7 linked regions of the Rattus norvegicus genome follow. The protein of the gene in region 2 purifies or fractionates together with the protein of the main gene of each other region. This does not show direct contact. Links are inferred from orthologs where the notes say so. Each region holds a gene or a part of one and is shown on either strand. Other genes may lie near its edges. The genes, in order: Polr3b, Polr1d, Polr3c, Polr1e, Polr1b, Polr2f and Uxt.

Region 1 (3,500 bases), on a different chromosome or scaffold from region 2:
ATGATTTTAACAGGCATTGCACCTGTTCAAGTTATGGTCAAGATTGAGTCTGGCTTTTAAGAAGCCAAGCCAAACGGTGGCTTCCCAGTCTCTTCCCGGTACAGCATGCTCAGTGAGAATAAGGGAGCAGGTCCTTACTGGACACCTGTCTTTGTGTGCCTGTACCTGGTCCATGAGAGGGACTGTGGAGAGACGAGGCCTGCAGGCACCCTTACCCATGGAGCCATCTAACAGGCCTGTGATGTAATTTTATTTTTCCCAATACTTTTTCTCTTCACATGAAGACGTGTAGTTACAGGAGGCTGACAGCAGTCCTAACTTCCTTTCCTGCCAACTCCGAGCTCACAACCCTGACACCATGCCTTGAACTGGCTGTGTCTCTACATGACTCTTCCCTCTTGAAGGAAGGAAATACCCAACTTGTTCTTAGGTTACACAGGAGCTTACACTGAGGGCACTTCAGAATTTTAGAGAAACTTTGGACTTTTAAAATGTTTGAATTTTTTTAAAGACCACGGAACTTTTAGAAGTTGGGATGTTTTACATTATGATATTAATATTAATATGACATTGTGGGGACAAACAAGAAAGGAAACGTTACTGTTGAATAGTACTGTGCTGAGTTCACATGGGACCAACTGTGCTGGCTAGTTTTTTGTTTGTTTCTTTTCTTTCCTTTTTCCCAACTAGACCTATGCTAGAGTCTTCTGAGAGGAAGGAACCCCAGTTGAGAAAATGCTTCCTGAGGTCGCCTGTAGGCAAGCTTGTTGGATAGTTTCTGGACTAATTCTTGAGCGATGTGGCAGGAACTGCTCACTGTGGGCGGTGCTGTCCCTAGGCAGGTGGTCTTAGAGGTATCGGACAGCAGGAGGAGCAGGACAGTAAGTAGCTCTAAGGCCTCTGCTTCAGTTCCTGCCTGAGGTCCTGCCCTGGCCTCTCTCTGTGACGAGTATCACCTGACAGTTGAAGAGTTAATTACATTCTTTCCTCCCAAGTTGCTTTTCCTTATGTTTAATCACAACAATAGAAAGTAACCAAGGCAATGTTTAACACACCTAAGTAATTGGTATCTTAAGGGAAACAGAAACTTGGCTGGGACTGTTTACCTCCACAGAGAAATCAGCAGTTCCCCCAAAGCCCCAACACACACACACACACACACACACACACACACACACACACACACACTCTCACACACACACTCTCACACACGCACTCACACACACACTCACACACGCACATACACACACACTCACGCATGCACACACACACTCACGCACATAGACACACACACACACACACACACACACCACACACACACATACACGCAGTGCTTCTGTACCTGGTAAGGACAGCTCGTGGTCCTCTGGCCCGGGCATGCATTTTATCCAGCACCATGTGTTTCAGTTTCTGATAGTACACAGGCCCAAAATAGATGTAGGCTTCTAAGGGCTCACTGAAAGAAAAGGCAACACTGGGTTTAGGCAACAGAGTTTGGGTAACTGGACAGACAGCCTGCACTAGGTCTCATCATCTGGAGGATTTCCTTAATTGTCTTCTCAGAGATTGTGTCCGACTGTGTGAGGACAAGCTTCAGCCTGTAGTCAGTGCAAGGCTAGACCAAGCTACAGAAGCACGCCACTGTTTGAGAAGATAATGCTTTCACAGAGAAACACCATCAGCAGGATGACCCTCTTCACCTGCCGCACCAGGCCAACAGCTTTTCTTCCTAGGTGGATCTTTCGTCTACTCTCAGCACTAGACAATCTGATCTACTGGAACCATCCAGAGAGAGTCCTCCCAAACCGGAAATCAGAGCATATTCTTGCTCTAGAATCCCCAATGGCTTCTTCTGAGATTCTATGTAGTCCAAATTGTACATGGCTATCACACCTTCTACCTCAGGACCTCTCCCCCTGGCCCACACTGACACTGCTCTTCTGTCAGGTACAAGCATGGCCCTGGCAACAGTGCAGCTTCAGTTGGCCTGGAACTTCCACACAGTCCAGGCTGCTGTCAAACCTGCAAGCTTTTGGTCTCCACCTCCCCCATGCTAGGATTACAGCTGGGAGCCTTTTGAAGGAGCCCTCCTCCCTCACGCTCCACCACCCCTTCCACCACTCCACCCTGTAGCGCTCCCAGCATCTTTGTGTATAATCAGTTTGTCTCTTTGCCTTTTGTCTTCCCGTGAGAAGTCAGTTCTTTGTCTTTTGCCACAGTGGTGCCAGCATCTATGAGCTTGCCTGGCATACAACTAGTGCTCGATAAATGTTTGCTACACAGCTTATCCCACTAGTGAATAAATATAAATAAATATAGTAAAAATCTCAAAAGTGAGTGCTGTGACAAAAAAAAAAAAAAAGGTCTTGTCAGAAGCAAAGAGCCAAGGATTGGACACCTTCAAAACGCTCTTCATTTTCCCCAAGTGTCCTTCCTCAAAGAGAAGGAAGTTCTCGTCAGCGCTGTTTAATCTAGTGTACTGAGCCTCTACTTTTGACGGTGTAGAGACAGCCCAGTGAGCCCGAGAGGTGAGGTAAGAGCAGTGAGAGGGGTGACCAGGTTCAGATCCCGTGCTCTCTCTGCCTGCCACAGCGGCCTGTCTGAAAAACAAGCTGACTTTGAGCAAAGCATGTGGTCAAGTGGGAAGAGCAGAGGAAGCCACCAACTGCAGAAAGGCGGTTGCAGTCTTTGGCCCAGCCTGCCTGCCCCAGTTCTCCTGTGCCAGTACACGAGTGAGGGCCGCTGTAGTCACTGAGCTGCTCTGTGAATTTCAGCCCAATGGCACCCCAGGAAGTCATGGTGGCAAGGGCCTTGAGAGACCCTGCTCTTGTCCCTATCTGTCATGGACACTGCATGACCTCCCCAATTCAGTTTTGATTGTGCATCAAGGTGGTCAGCCAAGGGTCTTTGCAGTTCTAATAAGTAAGTGACTGTGGTCCTCAGGGATGGTAACTCATAGTAGAATTCATGGACCTACAACCCAATGCTATTTCATCACCAACAGAGTAAACCACATACATGCAATTGCTGCGTCTAGCTAAGATCAGGAACATGGGTGGGGGCAGGTGGAGGGGCACAAACGCCCTCCCAAGCAGGCTCAGTGCGTCCCTGAATGGAAGTGAATGGCATGGAGGTGAATGGCAAAGAGAGGAAAACCCATGTGGGCACCAAGGGAGCAGTGTAGACCTCAGCTGTCTGCACAGCTGTGCATAGCACACAGCAGGTGGCCCTGCCGCATCTTTCAGTGCACTTATGTTTAGGAAGCTGCACTGAATGGGGCCTGTGGTGGTGCACACTCTCTGGATAATTTCATTCCTGAGTAGAAATGAAGGCCATAGGTCTAGCGATGACTGTGTTTTTTAAAAAATGGACACCTAACTACATGACTGAACCATACTTAAATGAAGGAAACCATTAGAGTTTTCATAGGATGAGGTTTTGTTTCATTTTGTTTTAAACATCCTAAGAATGACTTACTTAAGGAAACCTGTATCAATGCC
Region 2 (3,065 bases):
TCAGAGTGTTATTTGTGTGTGCGTGTGTGTGTGTGCGCGCGCGTGTGCACATGGAGGTCAGAGGTCACCCTGTAGGAGTCGGCTGTCTCCTTCTGGATAGGTTCTAGGGATTGAACTCAAGTGACTGGCTTTGTGGCAAGCAACCTTACCCACTGAGTCATCTCCCTGGAGCAAACGTTTTTGGTTTTGTTGTTGTCTTTAAATGAAAATGAGAAGAATCTGCAGCCACGAAGTAGACGTTCACTAATATGGAAGGCCGGAACTTGGGGGAGGGTGCCGGAAGGTTCAGGAGGAAGCAAGTGTTGTTCTCAGTAAGTTCCACACAGCTTTAGCTATGGCACACATCCATAGCCGAGAGTCTGGGGAGCAGTGAAATGGGGCACAGTATTAGCCTATACTTGCCCTTGTGCCTGCTTCTCCGAGTGAGCGCTGACTGGCAGCATGGCGGAGTCCCTCAGACTGTGAGCTTAGCATCTGGTACCCAAAAGAGGAAACCATAGTGTTTTTAAATATTTTATTTATTTTTTGAGAAATTCTGGGAAATGACCACAAAAGTGCAGTACATCAAAAAACTAGGAGTTTCTAACAAGCTCAAAATCTCAAATTCTAAAACTCCTTGTTTGAAACGAACTTCAGGTAAGGTAGATAAAGACAACATCGATGTGCAGGGCAATGCGGAATCAGCTTGCTCTCACCACGACGCCTTCAGGATAAGGTAGTTACGATTTGCTTTAGTAAAGTTTTTCTTTTCCTGTTAACAAGAGCAACAAGAACAACAACACAGTACCAAGAGACACCGTAAAACAAAGGACCCACTGAGGAAGTCACTTTCGGATGTCAGAGCCCGCCACCTCCCGGCCTCCTTGCCTCGCTGCGCCCAGTGGCAGGTGCAGTACGGGCTGGGCTGGCCCTGCAGCCATCTCATCGCCGGCTGGGCCTTGGGTCACACTTGTCCCGGGAGGCCCGCTTCCTTGGAGGAGAGCAGCCCACTGAGCCCCGGGCTGAGTGAAGGCTGCGCTTGTAGGAGTGGCTTCTGTGTTTCTTCCCACTTGTTTCCTTCTGGTCTTGACTTTTGCCAGGCTCCTTACTGCCCTCTTTTTGTTCGTGGTCTTGCTCTTTATGGGAGGGCAATGTGTTCTTAATTGTGTTAATAAGGAATCTTTTATTCGTACCAGCGAGAGGACACTTCATCCTGTGGATGTGAAGAGGGAAGAAGACATCATAAATGCAAGAGTTAAATTCCCTCCCTGTCTGGCCCACGAGCCAGATCAGTACAAAAGAATTCAGGCCCCACAGAACCAGTTCCTGAGTTTGTCTGGCTTTCCTTGCCATACAGTGCTGGAGCAGGAGGACTGCCATGATTTTGAGACCAGCGTGGGGTACCAGGTCAATTCAAGTACCAGGTCAGCCAAGGCCCTGGAAAGGTGGCGCAATGGCCCTGTGCCTGAACGTTACAGTGCTACCTCATCAGACTCTACAGTCCCCACAGCAGTCACACCACAGCCCGGCAATGGTGGATTTAGGGAAAACTCACCACAGTCTAAGTGTCTAGCTACCAGCAAGCAGGGAAGCAACTGCAGGCAGAAGTGTGTCAGTGCACTTACAGCTAAGGTTCCTTCCAGCAAATGAGCAGAGGCACATACAGTGAGGGGTGACTGGCCACTCAGGGACACAGGACAGTCACGGCATGGACAATGTTGGAGCAAAGAAGCACTGACTGACTCAGGTGAGTACAGCATGACAGACAGGCCCTGGCGAGTGCTGATTCCCAGTTATCTTTAGAGCAGACAAGAGGGTGCTTGGTCATAGAGCAAGAGGCACGAAATGCAGCTCGCTGCCCCTGTGCTGCAGACAAAGCCACCACACCAGCAATGGCACCCCATCTTCTGCTCCACATACACCCTTTGCAATACAGAGGCTACAAGTATGGAGACTACGAGTCTAGAATGAATGGAAGGTCTGGGGCAGGGGCAGGCCCTCCATGCAGTGAGGTGACATTTATCCCGAAGCCATGGTTGACCACAACTCATGTCGTTGTTTAATACCGCCACAGCTACTATAATCACCCGTGGTAGTTAGTGCATTACAATCTGGCAATCAAATGCCTCAGCGTGTGGCCATCTGAGAAATGACACTCCTTCATTATTTACATACTCCCAAGGTTTACCACGTCCCCAACACTGTCCCGAAAAGGAATGTGAAACACTGGATGAATATATGCCTGTGTCAAATGCATATGTAAAAGCATTTACTATACTTAAAACCTTATGTATGCGGGACATTATACTAGGCCTGTGCAACAAAGATAAGCCAGGCTCTCAGTGGGCGATGTCTGCTATGAGGGGACAGAAGCAGGTGGGCATACAAAGGGTTGCTGTGCGGACTGAAAGCCCCAGGGCTGCAGCACATGGACCACTGGTACAGACTGTGACTGCACAGCAGTCCACTCAGGACTCCAATTTACCTTCAGTACGGACAGGAGAGGGAGGTGGCCAGCAGGACCAGGAAGCACTCACTATGCTGCAGAGTGCTATCAGGCAAAAAGAGAAGAGCTTGGCACAGGGGCCGACGATGCTTCAGTCCCTCGGCTGGAGGTGGGGTGGGGTCTCAGCAAACTTCTCTGGCCCCATAATTTTAAAGCACAAGAGAGAGACTGGATTTCTGTGGTTCTGAAATATGGCAAAGGGCTTATCTATGACAAATGTACAATCCTCCCAGCCTCCCCGCTCAACTGAGATCACCTCCTGTTTGTCTATCCACCAGAGCGTAAAAAAGCCAAAGGCCAAAAAAACAAGTCTCTTTAACTCTTTCTTGTGCCTGGCTGCAGGAACTACCCACTGGCAAGCAGCAAGTCCGCATGGAGCAGAAAACCGCCCGTCTCCAGGACTGGAGAAGCGATCTCCTTTCTGATACTCGACCCGCTGGGGATGTCGCTGTGTGTGGGTGGGAGGCTCTGAGAGTGAAAAGCTGGTGGCAGAGAGTAGCCGAGATGAGGTAGGCCTCTCCTCTCTGCCTGCAGACAACCTGACCCCCTCCGGAATGCACCCAACACCTACTGTAAACCA
Region 3 (3,500 bases), on a different chromosome or scaffold from region 2:
CCTCTTGATTTCCTGCACTGACATTAGCTACGCCAACCCGAAGAGAAAGTAAGATTCTATGTGCAGTCAAGACAAATTCAGTCCCCGCCCTGCCATGGTGGGAACTGGCCTAGATGGCTGCCAAAACAAGTTCTGCTGCTCATGGGCTCTGGGTCCCCTAACCTGGGACCTGGGGATAAGTTTGGCTGCAGACACTGTACTCTAAACATAGGGGTTCTCAGGGCAGACAAAAGGCAAGTCCTGGTATTTCAGCTCAGGCCCAGTTGCTTTAAAAACAAAATTTAAAGAGATTCATTAGACTCTTTGCTAGTGATCTGATGCTTACTAGGCTGTGGGAGGTATGCTGTATGTTCAGCAGTGGTGAGCTATATAGCGTCAGGCCTTTCCTGACTTTCTTTTGGGTCCTATCTAGGTGAAAAAAGCCCTTTGTGTCCTCATTCACCATAACCTGGTCATCTATCATGTGCATAAACGCGGTGTGGTGGAGTATGAAGCCCAATGCAGCCGGGTACTGCGGATGCTTCGGTACCCCCGGTACATCTATACTACCAAAACACTGTATGGTGACACTGGAGAGCTGATTGTTGAGGAGCTTCTGCTGAATGGCAAAATGACAATGTCGGCTGTTGTGAAGAAAGTAGCAGACCGACTCACAGAGACCATGGAGGGTCAGTACTGCATCTAAGCTCCCTGCAAAGGCATAGATAAGTTAGCTGCTCCATCATCTAGACCTTCTCACCCCACCCCCTTTCTTCCTGTTGTACAGATGGCAAGACCATGGACTACGCTGAGGTGTCAAATGCATTTGTTCGACTGGCAGATACTCACTTTGTACAGCGCTGTCCCCTGGTTCCTGACACTGACAGTTCTGACCCCGGGCCGCCGCCACCTGCCCCAAACCTTGTCATTAATGAAAAGGACATGTACCTAGTTCCCAAACTGAGCTTGATAGGTAAAGAGTTTACATCCTGGGGGTTGGGGATTTAGCTCAGCGGTAGAGCGCTTGCCTAGTGAGCGCAAGGCCCTGGGTTCGGTCCCCAGCTCCGAAAAAAAGAAAAAAAAAAAAAGAATTTACATCCTGGAATTGTGGCTTGCCTTAATTGGGGATTCTTCTTCACTAATTGTTATTTGAATGAGCATCTTGATTGTTTACCAGTTCCTTGCTGTGTGCCAGTCACTGTAGTATGTAATAATGAGTATGTAATAATGTAAAAGCCAGGATCCCTGCCCAGAAGACATTAATCAGCCACACAGATATGTTATTCGGGGTCTGAAGAGGTGGCTCACTGGCTCTCTTCCTCAGGACCCAGATTCAGTTCCCAGCACCCATATGGCAGCTTACAACTGCCTGTAACTCCTGTTCCAAGGGATCTGACTCCATGATGCAGGCAAAACACCAGTGTACATAAAATTGAAAAAAAAGAAACAAAAGATATGTTATCCACTGTGATAAGAACTATGAAAGAGCTAGCTATTTAAAAATGTGTAATGAGGGGCTGGGGATTTAGCTCAGTGGTAGAGCGCTTACCTAGGAAGCGCAAGGCCCTGGGTTCGGTCCCCAGCTCCGAAAAAAAAAGAACCAAAAAAAAAAAAAAATGTGTAATGAGGGACTGGTTTTGTGCAGGTGGTTAAGGCTTACGTTTTTCTGAAAAAGTGGAATTTGACCTGGGTCTTAAAGCAGAAGTAGGACCTGCCCAGTGAAGTGACCTAAGATGGGTACTTTTTAAAGACTTGTGTGTAGTAAGAAGAAGAAATAGAGCCTTCGAGAAAGTGAAAGGTCAGAGTCACAGCAAGGTGAGCAAAGTTCTGAGAAGCATGGGAGAAGAGGAGAGGGAGGACCAGGTAAACAGGCATTGCAGAGCAACTGTTCTCTAAGCAACAGCAAAGGAAGACTACGCAGGTGTTAAGCAGGAAAGCCACATGGTCTGATTGACATTGTAAATTGTCTAAAAGACTGAAAGGCCAGGGCAAAGGCAAATAGAGACGGACTATTGAAAAAGTAGTAGCATGGTTTGTACTGCTGCATGCATGGGAGCGCAGTGCTGCCATTCACTGATAGGCGGTGTAGGAGGAGAAGCAGTTTGAGGGCACAGACTATGGATTTTCTTAGGTGGCGCCCCCACTGACTGGAGTTTCTCATGACTCCTCGGCCTCCTAAACAGCTCCTGAAGCAGACAGCTACAGATGTCTGTGAGCTTCGCTTCCTGCCATCATGTGGTACAGTCTAATTATTTGGTGACTTTATTTGGCAGGAAAAGGTAAGAGGAGGAGATCATCTGACGAAGATGCTGCTGGAGAGCCCAAGGCCAAGAAACCAAGATGCACAGATAATGAGGAGGTAACGGGGCTTCCTGATTAGCAGTCCTCACCCTAGAGCATCCAGAAACAGCCCTCAGATAATGAGCTCTGACAGAACCTACATGTTCCTGGCTAAGAAGGAGTGGATTATGAACTTCAGTACACTATTCAGGGGCACCAGTGAGGACAGAGTGTCCCTGCTGTCTCTGTCCACCTCTCCTGCCCTTTATACTGAGGAACCCTGAGAACTCCTGGGAGTCCAGGGGACTTTTGTGGAAGGACAGCCACTCCATTTCCCTTCTGATTCTTAACTTATTTCACTAAATAGTTGTACTAACTTACTCAAAAGAGAAAGCAGGGCTGGATGTGGAACACTTGAGATACAGAGGCAGGAGGATCTCTCTAAGTTCAAAGCCAATCTGGTCTACATACTTACATTATGATTCATAACAGTACCAAAATTACAGTTATGAACTTGCAACAAAAATAAATGTATGGTTGGGGGTTACCACAACACAAGGAACTGTATTAAAGGTCACAGTATTGGAGTGGGGGAGATGGCTGGGGATGTAGCCTAGTTGGTAAATTGCTTGTGGCATGCAGGAATCCCTGGGTTTGATTCCCCAGGACCAAATAAAAGCAGAAATGGTGCCCAATGTGATACCTTTAACTGCAACACTTAGAAGGCAGAAACTAGCAGATATCTATGAGTTAGAAGCTAGTCTGGTCTACAGAGTGAGTTCCAGGAGCTACATAGTGAGGCCCTATCTCAAACAAAACAAACCAGAAATGGCACTACATAGCTATAATTCTAGGACTCAGAAGGTAGAGACAAGAGAATCAGAAGTTATTCTTGACTACAATGTAAGTCTAAGGCCAGCCTGGGCTACATGAAACCCTGTTCCCAAAAAACCAACAACCAAATGAGATTTTTCAGCTAAGCTATCAAGTCCTAACAATCCTTTTCCCTTAGGTGCTGAAATTACAGACAGGTACAAGATCATGTCTGCCTTGTTACATGGATGCTAGGAGCCAAACTCAGGTCCTTATAGTTCCACAACAAATGTCTTTAACTTCTGAGCCATCTGTCAAGCCCCCAGGACTATCTGTCATCTCTTGGCAGCACTTCTCCAAAACTCTCCTCAGTGATCTTCCTTCTGGCATTCTTACCCAATTAGTGGCCAGAACTACTTCTTAGCTAC
Region 4 (3,138 bases), on a different chromosome or scaffold from region 2:
GAAGAGAACAGGTACTCGTGGGTAGATGGGGTTTCAGTGAGTCATGGGAAAAACCAGTCAGATAGAAAGCAGCCCCGTGAAGCATGGGTGGCGTCTGCGCAGCCTGGAATGAAGGAAGGAGCAAGCTTCGATGCTAGGCTTCCAGGAGCTGTGGGTGGATTCAAGGAAGAGGAGTGGTCATGTGTGTAGAGCCTGTAGCTGGGAGATGATAGTAAGGTGCTGTAGTCTGGGGCCGGGGACCAAAGCTTGCCCCGCCTCTACTGTTTGTTGAAGCAGAGTGTCACTGTCAGTGCCCAAAGGCCAGCTTGGGAGCCCAAAGCAAGGCTTCTCTGTGACAGCATGCTGACAGACTTAACTAAAATTAAATACGGATTCTAAACATTATTTATTTTAAATAACAGAGATTATCCATCCCTCTTCTCTTTTGCCATTAAAACAACTTTTTTTTAAATGATAGTCAGATTATTTCTTAGTTCTGAGCCTTTTCTTCTAACTATTCCTTTCTTTTCTAAGATTTTGTATGTGTGTATGTGTGCCTATGACATGGGTGTCATGGGATCCTCTAGATCTGTAGTTACAGGCTGTTGGGAATGGCCCAGGGGAGTGGTAGAAAACAAACTGGAGTTCTCTGCAAGAGCAGCAATACTCTAGTAAGCCATCTCTCCCCTACTCTTTAAAAATTTGATTGTGCGTGTGTGTGTCTGAGTGTGTATGAATGCCTATGTGTTTGTGTGTGCGTGGTGTATGTGTTTGCGTGTGGGTGCACGTGGAGTTTGATTATAGGAGTCATCCACTATTGCTGTCTACCTTATTCAGTGCGATGGAGTCTGTCAGTCAAACCTGGTGCACCCTGAAGGGCGGGCCTCCTTAGCCGTCTTGCTCTGGGTGTATGGACGGTGTGCTGGGGAGGGGGTGTGGCTCCTGAGAGCCTGCTTCCCCTCATGTGCTGCTGTGACCCTTTCTTGTTTTAGCCACTGCTCCTTCATCATAGAAATGCTGAAGTCTTTGCCAGCAGACGAGGTGCAGCGAAACCGGCAAGCCCGGAGCATTTGGTTCCTAGATGCCCTCCTCAGATTCCGAGCTCAGAAAGTGATAAAAGGGAAAAGTAAGGCCCACAGCATTCTCTTATCCCAGCTCTTTCCAGCTGCTGGCTTGTCTGTGGTTCTGACATCACCTCCATCGATGTCTGTCCAGGGCCTCTGTGCACCTTGCCCTTCCTCCTGCTCCCGCTGCCTGCCTGAGCCGCACAGGCCTCTCCTCTCTGAATTTCTTTGTTCTGTTCTGGAAATGGGGACAGGGTGGATGGGGCTTCCAGGGAGCACATTCACTGCTTTTGTTTTGTTAGGAAAACACTGTATCCAGGTCAAATGGAACAAAGAGGGAGTGCGTCAGGACAGACAGCAGTGACAGAGTAGTCAGAGCTTCGATTTGCACCTTCAGGCTGCTTTGGTGTTGTAGGACAGCACAGTCCCACTGTATATTCCTGGCTGGACTGGAACTCTCTGTACAGACCAGGCTGGCCTTGAACTCACAGAGTCATTTGCTCTGCCTCCAGAGTGCCCCATCGAACTTGGCTTGTCTCTCTGTCTCTCTCTCTCTCTCTGTCTCTGTCTCTCTCTCTCCCCCTCCCTCCCTCCCTCTCTCTCATTGTTGTGGTAAAATTTAAAAAGGAACATTTTCTATCTGCTCCCGCAAGCCGGACCCACTCGCTCCAGCTGCTACTCTGCTATGAGGTCTGCAGGCCGCCCTCTCCCGGCTGTCTCCTTTTAGCCGCCCTCTCCACGAGGTCCCCTAGGTGCTAGTTACCACTCTGACACACACATATCTGCTGGCCCTGCGGGTTCTCGCTCCTTGAGGGCAACAGAACCAGATCCACACACTCCAACTGCCTCTCAGCCGTTTCTTTCACACACTGTCCTCTTTAGCCCAGTAAAATCAAAAGTTCCAGAAACTTGTAATTTAGCAATTAGATTTACACGTTAAATTCTCAATCCACAATTCATCCACACAGAAAATTCACTGCCAATTGATAAAGATATAAACCACCCACCTAGACAAGATAAAGTCAATCTAATTCACCTAAATCTGAACCATCCTCCTCCGAAGACTCCATCTCGATCCCCCTTCCTCCTCTCTCCCGACTTACAAAAACATTGTCCCTGCTCCACTCTCTATTGTCCAATCATGTATTACCTTGACATCAAACTACATTTCCTTCCTTCCTCCCTTCCTCCCTCCCTCCCTTCCGCCCTTCCTCCCTTCCTCCCTCCCTTCCTTCCTCCCTTCCTCCCTTCCTTCCTCCCTTCCTCCCTTCCTCCCTCCCTTCCTCCCTTCCTTCCTCCCTCCCTTCCTCCCTCCCTCCCTTCCTCCCTCCCTTCCTTCCTTCCTCCCTTCCTTCCTCCCTTCCTCCCTCCCCTCCTTCCTCCCTCCCTTCCTTCCTTCCTCCCTTCCTTCCTACCTTCCTCCCTCCCTTCCTTCCTCCCTTCCTTCCTTCCTCCCTTCCTCCCCTCCTTCCTTCCTCCCTTCCTTCTTCCCTCCCCTCCTTCCTTCCTTCCTCCCTTCCTTCCTCCCTTCCTCCCTTCCTCCCTCCCTCCCTTCCTTCCTTCCTTCCTCCCTCCCTTCCTTCCTCCCTTCCTCCCTCCCCTCCTTCCTTCCTCTCTTCCTTCCTTCCTTCCTCCCTTCCTTCCTTCCCTGTTTTGGTGGTAGTGTTATAACACTTTATTTCAGACTGAGAAAGTCAGTTTGTAAAGTTAGAAATTCCAGTTCCTCCATGCGGTGGTAGCACAGGCCTTTAATCCAGTCACTTGAGAAGCAGAGACAAGCAGATCCCTGAGCTTGAGGCCAGCCTGGTCTACAGGGTGAGTTCCAGGACAGCCACACAGAGAAACCCTGGCTTGAAAAAAAACTCACAGTTCCACCTGTTTCCAGGAGCGTATGTGGTGGCCACACACTCATACCTACCGTGCAACTTTAAAAACACAATGGCTCCTTTGCTCCGGCCACATTCTCTGCTTAGCTCTGCCAACAGCCAGCTGGTGTCCTGACTGGGATGGGTCCCCTGCCCTTCCCTGGGTCCCCTACCCCTCCCAGCTAGCTTCGCCAAGTCACCAGCCACTACTCTGCCTTTGCCCGAGGATG
Region 5 (3,500 bases), on a different chromosome or scaffold from region 2:
TGCACCTCTTGCCTCGACAGACTGCACTACCTGGTACAGTAAACCCAAACAAGCTCCTATGTCTGAATGCTCAGGCATCAGAAGTGGCACAGCTAGAGAGGGATTAGTAGCCTTGCTGGGGTAGGTGTGGCCTTGCTGGGGTAAGTGTGGCCTTGCTGGGGTAGGTGTGGCCTTGCTGGGGCAGGTGTGGCCTGCTAGGGTAGGTGTGGCCTGCTGGGGTAGGTGTGGCCTTGTTGGAGGAAATGTGTGTCATTGAGGATGGGCTTTGAGATTTCAAAAATAAAAATAATAAAATAAGTTTTTAATTATTTAATGTTTAGAAAAATCAAGGAAAAGAATTCATAGCATGGCAGCTGCTGGAAAGTAAGAGGTATTTTTTTGTTTGTTTGTTTGTTTTTCTTTTTTTTTTTTTTTCCCGGAGCTGGGGACCTAACCCAGGGCCTTGTGCTTGCTAGGCAAGTGCTCTACCACTGAGCTAAATCCCCCAACCCCCCCCCCCTTTTTTTAAATGTGGCTAACAGAGGAAGAGCCTTTACTCTGCACATATGTTGAGTGTAAACCTTTGGTGAGAACTGCATGAGACTGAGCCAAGTAGCTTAACTGAGACTAAGAACCCAGTTAAACATCAGTCAAGACTGGCGGCTGGGGGTTGGGGATTTAGCTCAGTGGTAGAGAGCTTGCCTAGGAAGCGCAAGGCCCTGGGTTCGGTCCCCAGCTCCGAAAAAAAAGAACCAAAAAAAAAAAAAAAAAAAGACTGGCGGCTGACCGCACCTTCAGAGAGGCCTATCAGGGGCCTAGCTTAAAGGGCTACCAGTGACGTTAGCTGACACAGAGATTACTGAAACACTATAACATAGTGTAAACAGTAAACATAACTCACACTCAAGAAAAACTACAGTCAGTGGACAGCAGTCCTGGGACCACCCCAACATTGGAACAGTAACTTTACAGCATCCACTAATCAGGCTCAACATACACAGGAAAACAAGCCCATAGTGAAGAGGGAACAAATCCCCAGAAAACAAACTGGTAACAAGAACAAACACCCCAACACAACAGGTCTAGACCGAAAGACAACTGGAGTTCAACTCCTAGAACCAGCATAAAGGCAAGAAGAGAGACTATTCCACAAAGCTGCCCTCTGACCTCCACCCTCATGCCGTCCTCTGACTTCTACCCTCATGCTGCCCTGTCCTCTGACCTCACCCTCATGTTGCCCTGCCCTCTGACCTCACCCTCATGTTGCCCTGCCCTCTGGCCTTCACCCTCATGCTGCCCTGTCCTCTGACCTCCACCCTCATGCTGTCCTATGACCTCCACCCTCATGCTGCCCTGTCCCCTGACCTCCACACTCATGCTGCAATGTGCACACCCACACACATAACCTGCACACACAGCAAGGTGAATAACCACAGGGTTATTTATGAAACGCATGGCTAAGTCTTGAAAGAGGAGAAGCAATAAAGAGGAAGAAATAAGTTTTGAAACCCTTGAAAATGTTCCAAAGTTGATCAGTTTTTTTCTTATAAAGACCAGTAAATGCTATCAGAACACAAAGAGAGTCACATCTAGACATACAGCTAATCTCCTGAAAACAAAAATAAAGAACAAGTCCTTTTGTTTTGTATTTTCAAGTCAGGGTTTTTCTGTGTAGCCCTGACTGTCCTGGAACTTGCTCTGTAGACCAGGCTGGCTGCAATCTCAAGAGATCTGCCTGCCTCTGCCCCCTGAGAGCTGGGATTAAAGGTATGTACGCCATCTTGTCCAGCTTCAGAACAAATCTTAAAGAGAGGGAAAACAGTACACTAAGCAGGAAAACTATAATTTGCAAGCCCTGCCTTCTAGTTAGAAGTAACAGACACAGTGAAATAAAAGGACATGTCCACTCAGGATTATATAGTCAGTGAAGATGTCCTTCAGGTGAGCATGAAAAAGAAATTTCGGAATAATGACCACAAGAGGCTCTGTATTAAGTGAACAACAATATGCCACAAGGATCCAAGTGTGGTGTGGGATGACAGAGGCTGGAGGATACAGAGTTCAAGACCAGCCTAAGGAAGGCTGGGGGTGGGGGTGGGGGTGGGAGTGGGGGGTAAAGAAATGACGAATGCTGAGAGCGTGACTCAGACAGACATGAGGAGTACTGAAAGCAGTAAGGAAGCACCTGATGGTAACGGTGCAAGTCACAGGACCTCAGCAGAGAAGCCATCTTTGAAAATGCAAAACAGAGTTCTTCTGCACCACGGAAGACAAACACACACACTAATGGGACACAAGAGAACTGGACACAGGCCTTTGCTTCCCCACCTCCCTTCAAAGAGAATGAGGACTAAAATATGGAGTGCATACTGCTCTTGCAGACATTTACTGATGTGTGGGGGAAGGCACCATTATGCTTGAAAAAGCAAACTGGGCAAACTGGGGACACAACAGATGACTCATCTGTGGGCATTCTTCATACTATTCTTGAAACTCACTGTAAGTTTGATCATTTCAACTTAATTTACAAATGCTTTTTGTGCTGTGCTCACCCCCAACCCTCCCCACCCACCTTACCCATCTGGCACTGGTACATGTTCCGAGGACTCTGGTTGTGATCAGAGAAGGGGATGAAGTTGGCTATCACGCTCAGCAGGCTGTGAGGGAAGAGCTCCTGGTGTGTGGAAACTCCACCAAAAACCTCGTCCTCGAAGATGGCAATGTTCATGAAGAGCTGGAGCAGAGGGAGGGCAGGAAGGCAGAGGCATGAAATCCTGTGGCGGTCGTGCTGCTTCCCAGGGGCTGGTGCTGGGGCTGCCAAGTGCTTGTATCACCCAAATCACTTATGAGCTCTGCCAGAAGCACGGACCGCTTCCAGACAGATGTCCTACTCCCTGCTATTAAGGTGCTAGAGTTAGGACCTAGAGTCTTCATGCCAAGCTTTCCGCCACTGAAGGACCTCCCTAATGCTTTCCCTGAGATAGTCATCCTGTATCTACCCTGTCCAACTGTGGAGGGCCAGAAAGGAAGACAAATGTTCATTTATTTTGGACAGGGTTTCTCTGTGTAGCCCTGGCTGTCCTTGAATTCAGATCTGCCTACCTCTGCCTCCCCAAGGCTGGGTACTGTGCACCACAACACCCAGCTTCAGTTTTCTAAAGTAGGCACAAATCTATTTGTCAATGGCAAAGACGTAGGTGATGACCGAGACGAGTCAACAGGATGCCTTGGTCTTAGCAACTGGGACAGAGCCAAGTGTAAAGGAACTGAATGCTGGACAGCACAAAGGGTAGTCATGTGAGCACCAAGCCTCCCTCCCCCAGGTTCCTGGAAGCGTGGCAAGACAGCAGCACTGGGCAAAGAGAGCCAGAGCGTCAGCTTGACTCCTATCAAATACTTTAGAAAGCGATGGCTGAGGCTCTGCACGCTGCGTTCTACAGAAGCAGCACTGCAGCGGGTACCTACCTGCTCCATAGTTCCAACGAGCTCTTCTTTGCCCAGCTCCAGGTTCTGCACAGGCC
Region 6 (3,473 bases), on a different chromosome or scaffold from region 2:
GCTGCCTTGCCCAACAGGGCTCTGCCTGGGGACAGTGGGGGATCACTGCACCCCCACGCTTCCTGCTAAAGCACCGCTCCTGAAAGGGGATCTGAGTCCTCGATAAGAGCTCAAGGCAGGTCCCTAGGAACAATGGCTGGCTTGATGAAACCTGCTCTGTGATACTCCTGAGAAGGGAGAAGCCCCTGCAGCCAGTCCCCACTGGAAAGGAAATTGGGGGTTTCCGTGGCAACCAGCTCCCTGGGCACAAAGACTCATCTGTCTGCTGAGAAGGCAGCTGAGGTGTCTCCCTGCAGCAGCTTTTGCTCTGGTGCATGGGGAGAGATGGAGGGATGGGATGGGGGCCCTGGTGCTTTAGAAAGAGCTAACAGTCACAGGGTCACCTCAATGTATGCCCATCCTGTAGTAGGGCAGGAACAAGAAAGCAGCAGGTGTCAGCATGCAGGCAACAGGGGCAGAGGGGGTGTGAAGAGTGAAGTTTATTATTTACATGTATAAAATGGGCATAGAGATGGTGCCTGGCACAGCCTGACAGCTCTGCTCAGTCGCTGATGATGAGCTCATCCACGCCCCAATCCTCATAGCTTCCATCTGGCAGGTAACGGCGAATGATGATGGGGATCTTCCGGGCCCTGTGTGGGGAGAAGTCGAATGAAGTGAGAGCTGGTGCCCTGGCTCCCAGCAGAGAACAGGTGGTAGTAGCACGTGTCACAGAAATGCCCTCCCTTGGCTCCCGGGGGCTGGCCATGCATGAGCCACAGGTCTAAAGAGGCCCGAGATACTCTGAAGGAGGGGCAGACTTACTTGAGTTCCTTCATGGCGATGAGCAAAGGGTCTGTCTCCCCCTCCAGCTCCACCATTACTGGGGCACACATCCTGCAGAGACAGAGAAAGATTGGAGAGACAGCAGACAAGGCTCAGAGAAGGTGGATCTGCTGTCCTGATCCTCATCTAGCAAGGTCACCTGGACAGGCAGGCCTGGTGGCAGCAGTGTTCAGGGAGCCACCACTGAGCAGAGGGAAGGCTGGCAGACTGGATTTAAACTGTGCCTGTAAGCACAAGTCACCGAATTTCTCTCCACATCCCAACAGCCTCTTCTAAAATTGAAGAAGAGATCCCTACCTCACTGGGGAAACAATGACAAAAACCAGATAGCAGACAGGCTCTGCACGCCAGACACTGACAGCTACCTGCCATGACCTCTGCCTCAGTGGGAGAGGCCTACTTTGACTTCCACTTTACTATCATGGAAACTAGGTACAGAAAGGTGAAGCTCTAGTGTACAGGAATGCCAGGGTGTTGCGGTGGGAGTGGGAACATCTTCATAGAAGGGATAACATTTGAAATGTAAATACATAAACTATCCAATATAAAAGGTGTCCTGCCCCAGGTCACGTAGGCAGAGAGGCAGAGCCAAGGTCTGCTCCTCACCACTGTGCTGGGATATGTCCCAGGTAACATACTGAAGTCATCTGCATGTCATACCCCATCAGAGAAGGCCCTGCATAGCAACACCCCCAGAAGAGTGACACTCTTCCAGCCTGGCCCCTCATTCAAGCCAGAACAAACTTCCATGCCTCCCCTAGGTTATGGTTAAGTGTCCCCCAAATTAAGATGACGACGGTATTGGAGAAGGAGCTCTTAGAAAGCCACAAAGGGGCTGGAGAGATGGCTCAGTGGTTAAGAGCACTGTCTGCTCTTCCAGAGGTCCTGAGTTCAAATCCCAGCAACCATATGGTGGTTCACAACCATCTATAATGAGATCCGATGCCCTATTCTGGTGTGTCTGAAGACAGCTACAGTGTACTTATATATAATAAATAAATAAAAAAAAAAAATTAAAAAAAAAAAAAAAAAGAAAGAAAGCCACAAAGGTGTGACCACCATGATAGCCTAAGTGGCTTTATTAAAGGAAGAGAAATCCAAGCTAGCAAGGTTGCTCAGTTCTACCAAATAACAGCACTCTGCCATATTACGATGCAGCTTGAGGCCCCACAGGTGAGTTGCCATGTTCTTGAACCTTCTAAGCTCCAGGACTGTGAGCCAAATGTACTAAGCCAGAAGCCTGTCCTCTGGACTTCTGTCACAACATGGACAACAGGCACAGATCCCTTTCATTTCTACTCTCTGTCCTCACCCACCTCTGTCTCCTTTTTTTTATTTAAAGATATACTTAATTTTTTTTTTTTTTATGTGAGCACTCTGTTGCTCTCTTCAGACACACCAGAAGAGTGTCCCATCGGATCCCATTACAGATGGTTGTGAGCTGCCACGTGGTTGCTGGGAATTGAACTCAGGACCTCTGGAAGAGCAGTCTGTGCTCTCAACCATTGAGCCTTGGGAATCTGTCTTCTGTGCCCCCGGTGAGTTAAACATGCGTTTCTTGGCATCAAAGCCACCATACTACTGTCCACACCAGACTATGAACATCTGTCTGGTGGCCCAGAACCACACATGATCCACTATGAGGGCCCAGGCCCCAGCTAATGCTTGGTCCAAGCAAAACTTCCAATGGCAAACAAGGGCACATCAACTCCAGGCCTGTCTCCTGCAGACAGACGCTTCTAATAACCCTGGACAGCCTGACGCCAATAGATTCAGACTTACGAACAAGCATCCAAAATCAAGGGCCAGTGCCTTCTCCAGGCCATAAAAGACCAATGATTTTCTTATGTGTATGGGTGTTTTGCTTACATGGAGGTTTCCAGTGCCTTTGGAGGACACTGGATACAAGAGCACCAAGTGCTCTTAACTGCTGATCCAGACAGAATCCCTCAGCTCATGAGGGGGTCTGAGAATTATACCTTCAGAGGTACCTGGGTGACTCTGGGGACCACCTTGAGACTGACATTTATTAGTTTGTGACTAAATATTCTGGTCTCTGCTAATCCTAAAATCCTGAAATTTTCCAAAGAGCAGAAACCAAATGTCTTTTCTGACATAATGAAATGTCCCCAAAACTTGACGTATAGCTCAGCAGTAAAACATGTAAGGTCCTGTTTAGTTTGCCATACATACACAGAGTGCTTTACATAAGTAACCATTGACCTGACCGGCCGTGTCCACTCTCTCCTCACATCACAGCAGTAACTGAAGGGCATCGCTCATCAGTGCCCCACAGACATGCAAGCGCAGGCTTTGAAGTGACTGTCTTGTGCTGCAGCTACTAAAATAAACATGTCACCATCATCCAGTGAAGATGAGGTGAGTGACATCAGCCAGCAGGTGGCGCACGCAGGCCAGACTGGACTCGCCAAAAGCTATCCAAGATGGCATTTCATTCAGCCCCTAAGCAAAGGTACAGCCCAGGCCTCAGTGTACAGAATCCAGCCTGGCTGTGCTTGAACAGAGGGCATGGGCTCCCTAGGGGAAGGAACACTAAAGCCCGGACTAAGCAGGATCCATCTTACTCCCACAGAGTATGACCATCCAGTTGGCTTAGACTGAGTTGTCAGGACGCCTCACTCCTGTGA
Region 7 (4,150 bases), on a different chromosome or scaffold from region 2:
TTGCATCCTCATTTTTTTTAGCTCTAGCCCTGAAGAGGAAGGTAGTATGTTTTTTTTTTTTAAAGTACCATCCCAGGTAGCTACGGGGAAAAGGGTAGAGTATTGAAATTTATGATGTCTATTTATTATTTTTTTCTGTTGTTTTATATAGAGGGATTTGTTTTATCACCCAGAGTGGCTTCAAAATCAGGATCCTCCTGCTTGATCTTCTAGAGTCGTAGGATTACAGGTATGAACTACTGCCGTATCTGACTTTTATATATTTTGTGTATGTGTTTGTGTGGTGTGTGATACGGATAGAACCTAGGGCTTCACACATGCTAAGCAAATGTTCTTACCACTTCCCTGCACCCTTAGCCTTTAGATACTATCCTCCTGGAATGAACTCACTCTGTGAGGAGGGAACTCTTTCGGTCAATGAACTTGAGAGCTTCGGCCAGTGTCAGTTCCAGGAAAAAACCGTATCCCAGGGCCACATAGATGCGTGAAGTATCTGGGCTGAGGAAAGAGGTCGGAGGAAGTGGAAGAAGTCTTTATTACCATTTAGCATACTGTATATAGTTTAAGGTGTTTCCTATTCCTTCCTATTCCCCAAGTGAAGGCTCTGTAAGGGCAGATATTTTGTGTTCATTTCTCCCACGACCACAACATGTTGCTTATATCTTAATGTAATATAAAAGCTACTAAAGCCTGGTATACAGAAAATACTAAGAAATACTTGTTCCATGAAAAAAGGGAGAAATTTAGAGGGGAGAGAATACACTCACACCATTGTGTCAACGAAGAAGTTACAGCCCAAATCCACCTGCATATATAACTCCGAGTGATTAGTTTCCTATAGGGCCAGGAGAAAAGAGGTAGGTGTCAGTGGCCAACTTTTAAGGCAGATAAAGGTTTTGTTCTGGGGGTTCTCTTCCCGCCTCCCTTCTTTGTACATATACACAAAGTGGCACCCAATTTAAAAGCCTTTACCTGGAGTCGCTCAATGACATTTCTTAGTTGAAGGTATACAGACAGCTGCTCATATACCTTGTCTCGATGGTCCAGTACCTTTCTGATACGTAGAAATACAACAGTGAATATTAGGCAGTCTTACTCCTTTTGAGATGCAGCACATCATGCCCTACTAGGCATTTTAAGCCAGATGGGGTTGTTCATGGATGCAATCCATGGGCTGAGGCAGGAGGATTATGAGCTCAAGACCAGCTTGTGTAACATAGTGAGACCCTGTGCCTGCTCCCCCAAACACTCATGATGGGGCATAGATAAGGACACAGCCGGCATTTCAATAAATATAGGTGAGACTGTACTTCATCCTGACCTCTACCTCTTGCTAGTAATGTGACTATGGAAAGTAGGAAACCTGTTTGGGATTAAGTTTCCCCACATAGAAAATAGAGATGGTAGTATTAGCATATAGGAGTCATTAGAATCAAGTGTCTACTACAAAGTGTTTTAAATGCTAGCCAAATGGTAAGCATTATATACTTAGAACCTATTACAATGATAAATATTGCATTTTACTCAGTGACTTATGCCAATTAAAATGTCCCATCTTCACCCTAAATATACCTCCCCGTTTCTTTTAGCATGATTACACAGCCCTAGTTCTCAATACCTAACTTTTTATTCAGATTAGTAATGACAGCAATAGTAATCATCTAGTTGTTGAGCTTTTAGTGTATTTCAGGCACTGGAGGCAAATTCCTTTTTCATAAAAGTTATCCAGGTTATTTCCAGAGACAATATCTGAGTTTCTCACGCTGGTATTGAATTTGTAATCACACCAAACAATCCTCTCCTCTCAGCCTCAATATAATAGTAGTTGGGTTTATCTGCATTAAACATGTGTTTATTTTGTGTGCATGTATAGGTGCCATGATACACCTGGAAGCTTTTTGGGAATCTTTTTCCTTCCATCATGTGGCTCCTAGAGATCTACGTTAGGGCATGGTGTTGGAGGCAAGCCATCTTGCTGGCCCTAATTTGCTTGTTTTGAGACATAATATCAGAGCCCAGGCCATACACAACCTCGAAATGTAAGTGAAGGTTACCCTGAACTCTGGATTATCCTGCTTCTGATACCATCCCAAGTACAGGGATTGCAGGCCTCTGTCACCACACTAGTTTTTTTTTTTTAAATAAAATATTGTTATATATTTCAAGGCTGGCTTGTAATCCTGGCTAAAAACGTGAATTTCCCCATCTCTCCACTAGAGATGGCACACACCATGGAGCCTGAGCCTGGCTTTATTCTACTTTTCCCCCTTTGAGACAGTCTGTAGCCCAGTTTGGTCTCCAGCTTACAAAGATCCTCTTGCTTCTCCCTCCTGTGGCAGAATGTGTTGGAGTTGACACATTTAAAACTCAAACACCACGTTAAAAAGGCCTAATAAACTTTTCCATTTCACAGATGAACGAAGTTCATAAAGCCTAGAGAGGCAAAGTAAGGTACAACTTGTTCATAAATATTAATTAAATGGCTTAGTTAGAAACACATTAGGTTCGGAATGACTATTTTAAACCAACAAACATGGTCGGAGCTCTGCTAAAGGGATAAGTTCCAACCAAATCTCAGCCCAGAAGTCAACCTTCTTCCCAGAAATCTGGTTGGCCAACCCGAAAGTTTGGCCGCATTCAATCCCACCCACCACGTCGAATTTCTCAAACGTCACGCCTCCCGCGTTGCCACTCACTGCAAGTCTCGCTGCAGTACGTCACTGATAAAGGCCTCATACCGCAGCACTTTCTCCCCCACCGTATCCAAGGCCCGCCGTTTCGGGGGCGTCGCCATTATGTGCTCCTGGGGATTGAAGGGGGAGGACCCACGTTGAGCGCTCCAGTTTAACTTCACAAAGTTCTCATATTGTGCACGACTTCTTTCGACTCGTGCTATGGAGTTCCTTCTGCCCAACCCTACTTTAGGACTAGTTCACTCACCGATACGCAACCGCGACGTTCACCTAGGGGCCACCAGCAATAACTGTTATAACGAACCGCGGCTTCCGGCTGGCGCGGATGGATGACGCATTTCCAGCACCAGAGCCAACCATAATCGATGGGGCGGGGCTGCCCTTCGTGCGAGAAGACGCATTTAAGGGAAGAGCTGCAGGCGGGGCCTGAATGAGTCCCTGGAGGTAGCAGGGTCACGCTGTTGGCCTGCAGGCAAATAAATAGTCGCGAGCTGGCGGGAGACTGGTTTGGGTGACGTTTAATGAGTTTTGGCGGGTTCTGAGGAAAGGTGGACTTACAGGAAGGTAGGGAGAGGGAGTTAAGTGTTTATAATTTCTTTGAAGTGTGTGTGAGAGCAGTTGTGAGCTACCGTGATGTGGGTGCTGATAATGGAGTTCACATTCTCTGCAAGAGTTGTGTGTTCTTAACTGATGAACCATTTCTGTATTCCTCCCTCCCCACTCTTAAATTCCTTCCTATTTTATGTGTTTTGTTTGCATGTTTATGCACCACATGTGTGCAGTGCCCACAAAGGGTAGAAGAAGTTGTGGGATTCCCTGGAATTGGAACTACTGGCAGTTTGTGTGCACCATGTGGATGCTGGGATCGAATGGCCAATGCTCTTAACTACTGAGGTATCCATATAGTCCCTACTTTTTTCTTTTAGAAACATTTCTAGTCTTTGAGAATTTCATAGATGTATGCAATATATTTTCATTATCTCCACTCCCTATTCCCTCCAACTCGTCCTAGACCCTTCCTACCACATTCCCCTTCCAATTTCATATTCTCTTTAAAACAAAAGACCAAATCAAAACCAAACAAACAAAAACCTCACTGAGACCACTTAAGCATTTAATAATTTAAAAAGCACAAGAGTGCCTATAGACCAGCAAGTATTATGGTACTAATCTATAAGGAAGGCAGGATATCTTGTGGCTCGCGCTCTCTCTCTCTCTCTCTCTCTCTCTCTCTCTCTCTCTCTCTCTCTCTCTCTCTGTGTGTGTGTGTGTGTGTATTACACACATAGTTTGGTTTTCACCCTCCAAAGGGCACATAAAAATGTTTAAACAGAGACAAATTTTAAGAAAATCATCTTAAATGAATTTCTGCTTGATACCTTGTCCCCCAAACCAAAACCAAAACCAAAATTTCGTGCTACATATATTTAAAATTCAATTTGGTGTGCTTAAAACAG

Evidence for each region.
Region 1: the proteins of Polr1d (region 2) and Polr3b purify together in Homo sapiens (affinity purification with mass spectrometry; 6 studies listed by BioGRID and IntAct, with this or other methods). This does not show direct contact. The link is inferred for Rattus norvegicus from reciprocal best matches to the Homo sapiens genes POLR1D and POLR3B.
Region 3: the proteins of Polr1d (region 2) and Polr3c purify together in Homo sapiens (affinity purification with mass spectrometry; 3 studies listed by BioGRID and IntAct, with this or other methods). This does not show direct contact. The link is inferred for Rattus norvegicus from reciprocal best matches to the Homo sapiens genes POLR1D and POLR3C.
Region 4: the proteins of Polr1d (region 2) and Polr1e purify together in Homo sapiens (affinity purification with mass spectrometry; 3 studies listed by BioGRID and IntAct, with this or other methods). This does not show direct contact. The link is inferred for Rattus norvegicus from reciprocal best matches to the Homo sapiens genes POLR1D and POLR1E.
Region 5: the proteins of Polr1d (region 2) and Polr1b purify together in Homo sapiens (affinity purification with mass spectrometry; 5 studies listed by BioGRID and IntAct, with this or other methods). This does not show direct contact. The link is inferred for Rattus norvegicus from reciprocal best matches to the Homo sapiens genes POLR1D and POLR1B.
Region 6: the proteins of Polr1d (region 2) and Polr2f purify together in Homo sapiens (affinity purification with mass spectrometry; 4 studies listed by BioGRID and IntAct, with this or other methods). This does not show direct contact. The link is inferred for Rattus norvegicus from reciprocal best matches to the Homo sapiens genes POLR1D and POLR2F.
Region 7: the proteins of Polr1d (region 2) and Uxt purify together in Homo sapiens (affinity purification with mass spectrometry; 3 studies listed by BioGRID and IntAct, with this or other methods). This does not show direct contact. The link is inferred for Rattus norvegicus from reciprocal best matches to the Homo sapiens genes POLR1D and UXT.

What each region holds. Positions count from the first base shown.
Region 1 is NC_086025.1:20,936,134-20,939,633, forward strand, and holds part of Polr3b (DNA-directed RNA polymerase III subunit RPC2), read right to left. Parts: intron 1,457-3,500; coding exon 1,343-1,456; intron 1-1,342. UniProt on the Homo sapiens protein: Catalytic core component of RNA polymerase III (Pol III), a DNA-dependent RNA polymerase which synthesizes small non-coding RNAs using the four ribonucleoside triphosphates as substrates.
Region 2 is NC_086030.1:13,084,005-13,087,069, forward strand, and holds the end of Polr1d (DNA-directed RNA polymerases I and III subunit RPAC2), read right to left. Parts: intron 1,193-3,065; coding exon 922-1,192; 3' UTR 501-921; downstream 1-500.
Region 3 is NC_086020.1:186,944,463-186,947,962, reverse strand, and holds part of Polr3c (DNA-directed RNA polymerase III subunit RPC3), read left to right. Parts: intron 1-61; exon of another isoform or gene 62-197; intron 198-412; coding exon 413-668; intron 669-766; coding exon 767-952; intron 953-2,252; coding exon 2,253-2,338; intron 2,339-3,500. UniProt on the Homo sapiens protein: DNA-dependent RNA polymerase catalyzes the transcription of DNA into RNA using the four ribonucleoside triphosphates as substrates.
Region 4 is NC_086023.1:64,085,123-64,088,260, forward strand, and holds part of Polr1e (DNA-directed RNA polymerase I subunit RPA49), read left to right. Parts: coding exon 1-11; intron 12-971; coding exon 972-1,105; intron 1,106-3,138. UniProt on the Homo sapiens protein: Component of RNA polymerase I (Pol I), a DNA-dependent RNA polymerase which synthesizes ribosomal RNA precursors using the four ribonucleoside triphosphates as substrates.
Region 5 is NC_086021.1:136,804,130-136,807,629, reverse strand, and holds part of Polr1b (DNA-directed RNA polymerase I subunit RPA2), read right to left. Parts: coding exon 3,445-3,500; intron 2,714-3,444; coding exon 2,557-2,713; intron 2,547-2,556; exon of another isoform or gene 1,345-2,546; intron 1,290-1,344; exon of another isoform or gene 133-1,289; intron 1-132. UniProt on the Homo sapiens protein: Catalytic core component of RNA polymerase I (Pol I), a DNA-dependent RNA polymerase which synthesizes ribosomal RNA precursors using the four ribonucleoside triphosphates as substrates.
Region 6 is NC_086025.1:112,599,537-112,603,009, reverse strand, and holds the end of Polr2f (DNA-directed RNA polymerases I, II, and III subunit RPABC2), read right to left. Parts: intron 877-3,473; coding exon 805-876; intron 633-804; coding exon 542-632; 3' UTR 501-541; downstream 1-500. UniProt on the Homo sapiens protein: DNA-dependent RNA polymerase catalyzes the transcription of DNA into RNA using the four ribonucleoside triphosphates as substrates.
Region 7 is NC_086039.1:3,678,554-3,682,703, reverse strand, and holds the start of Uxt (protein UXT), read right to left. Parts: upstream 2,801-4,150; 5' UTR 2,795-2,800; coding exon 2,697-2,794; exon of another isoform or gene 2,652-2,696; intron 1,055-2,651; coding exon 973-1,054; intron 836-972; coding exon 768-835; intron 499-767; coding exon 391-498; intron 1-390. UniProt on the Homo sapiens protein: Involved in gene transcription regulation. Acts in concert with the corepressor URI1 to regulate androgen receptor AR-mediated transcription. Together with URI1, associates with chromatin to the NKX3-1 promoter region.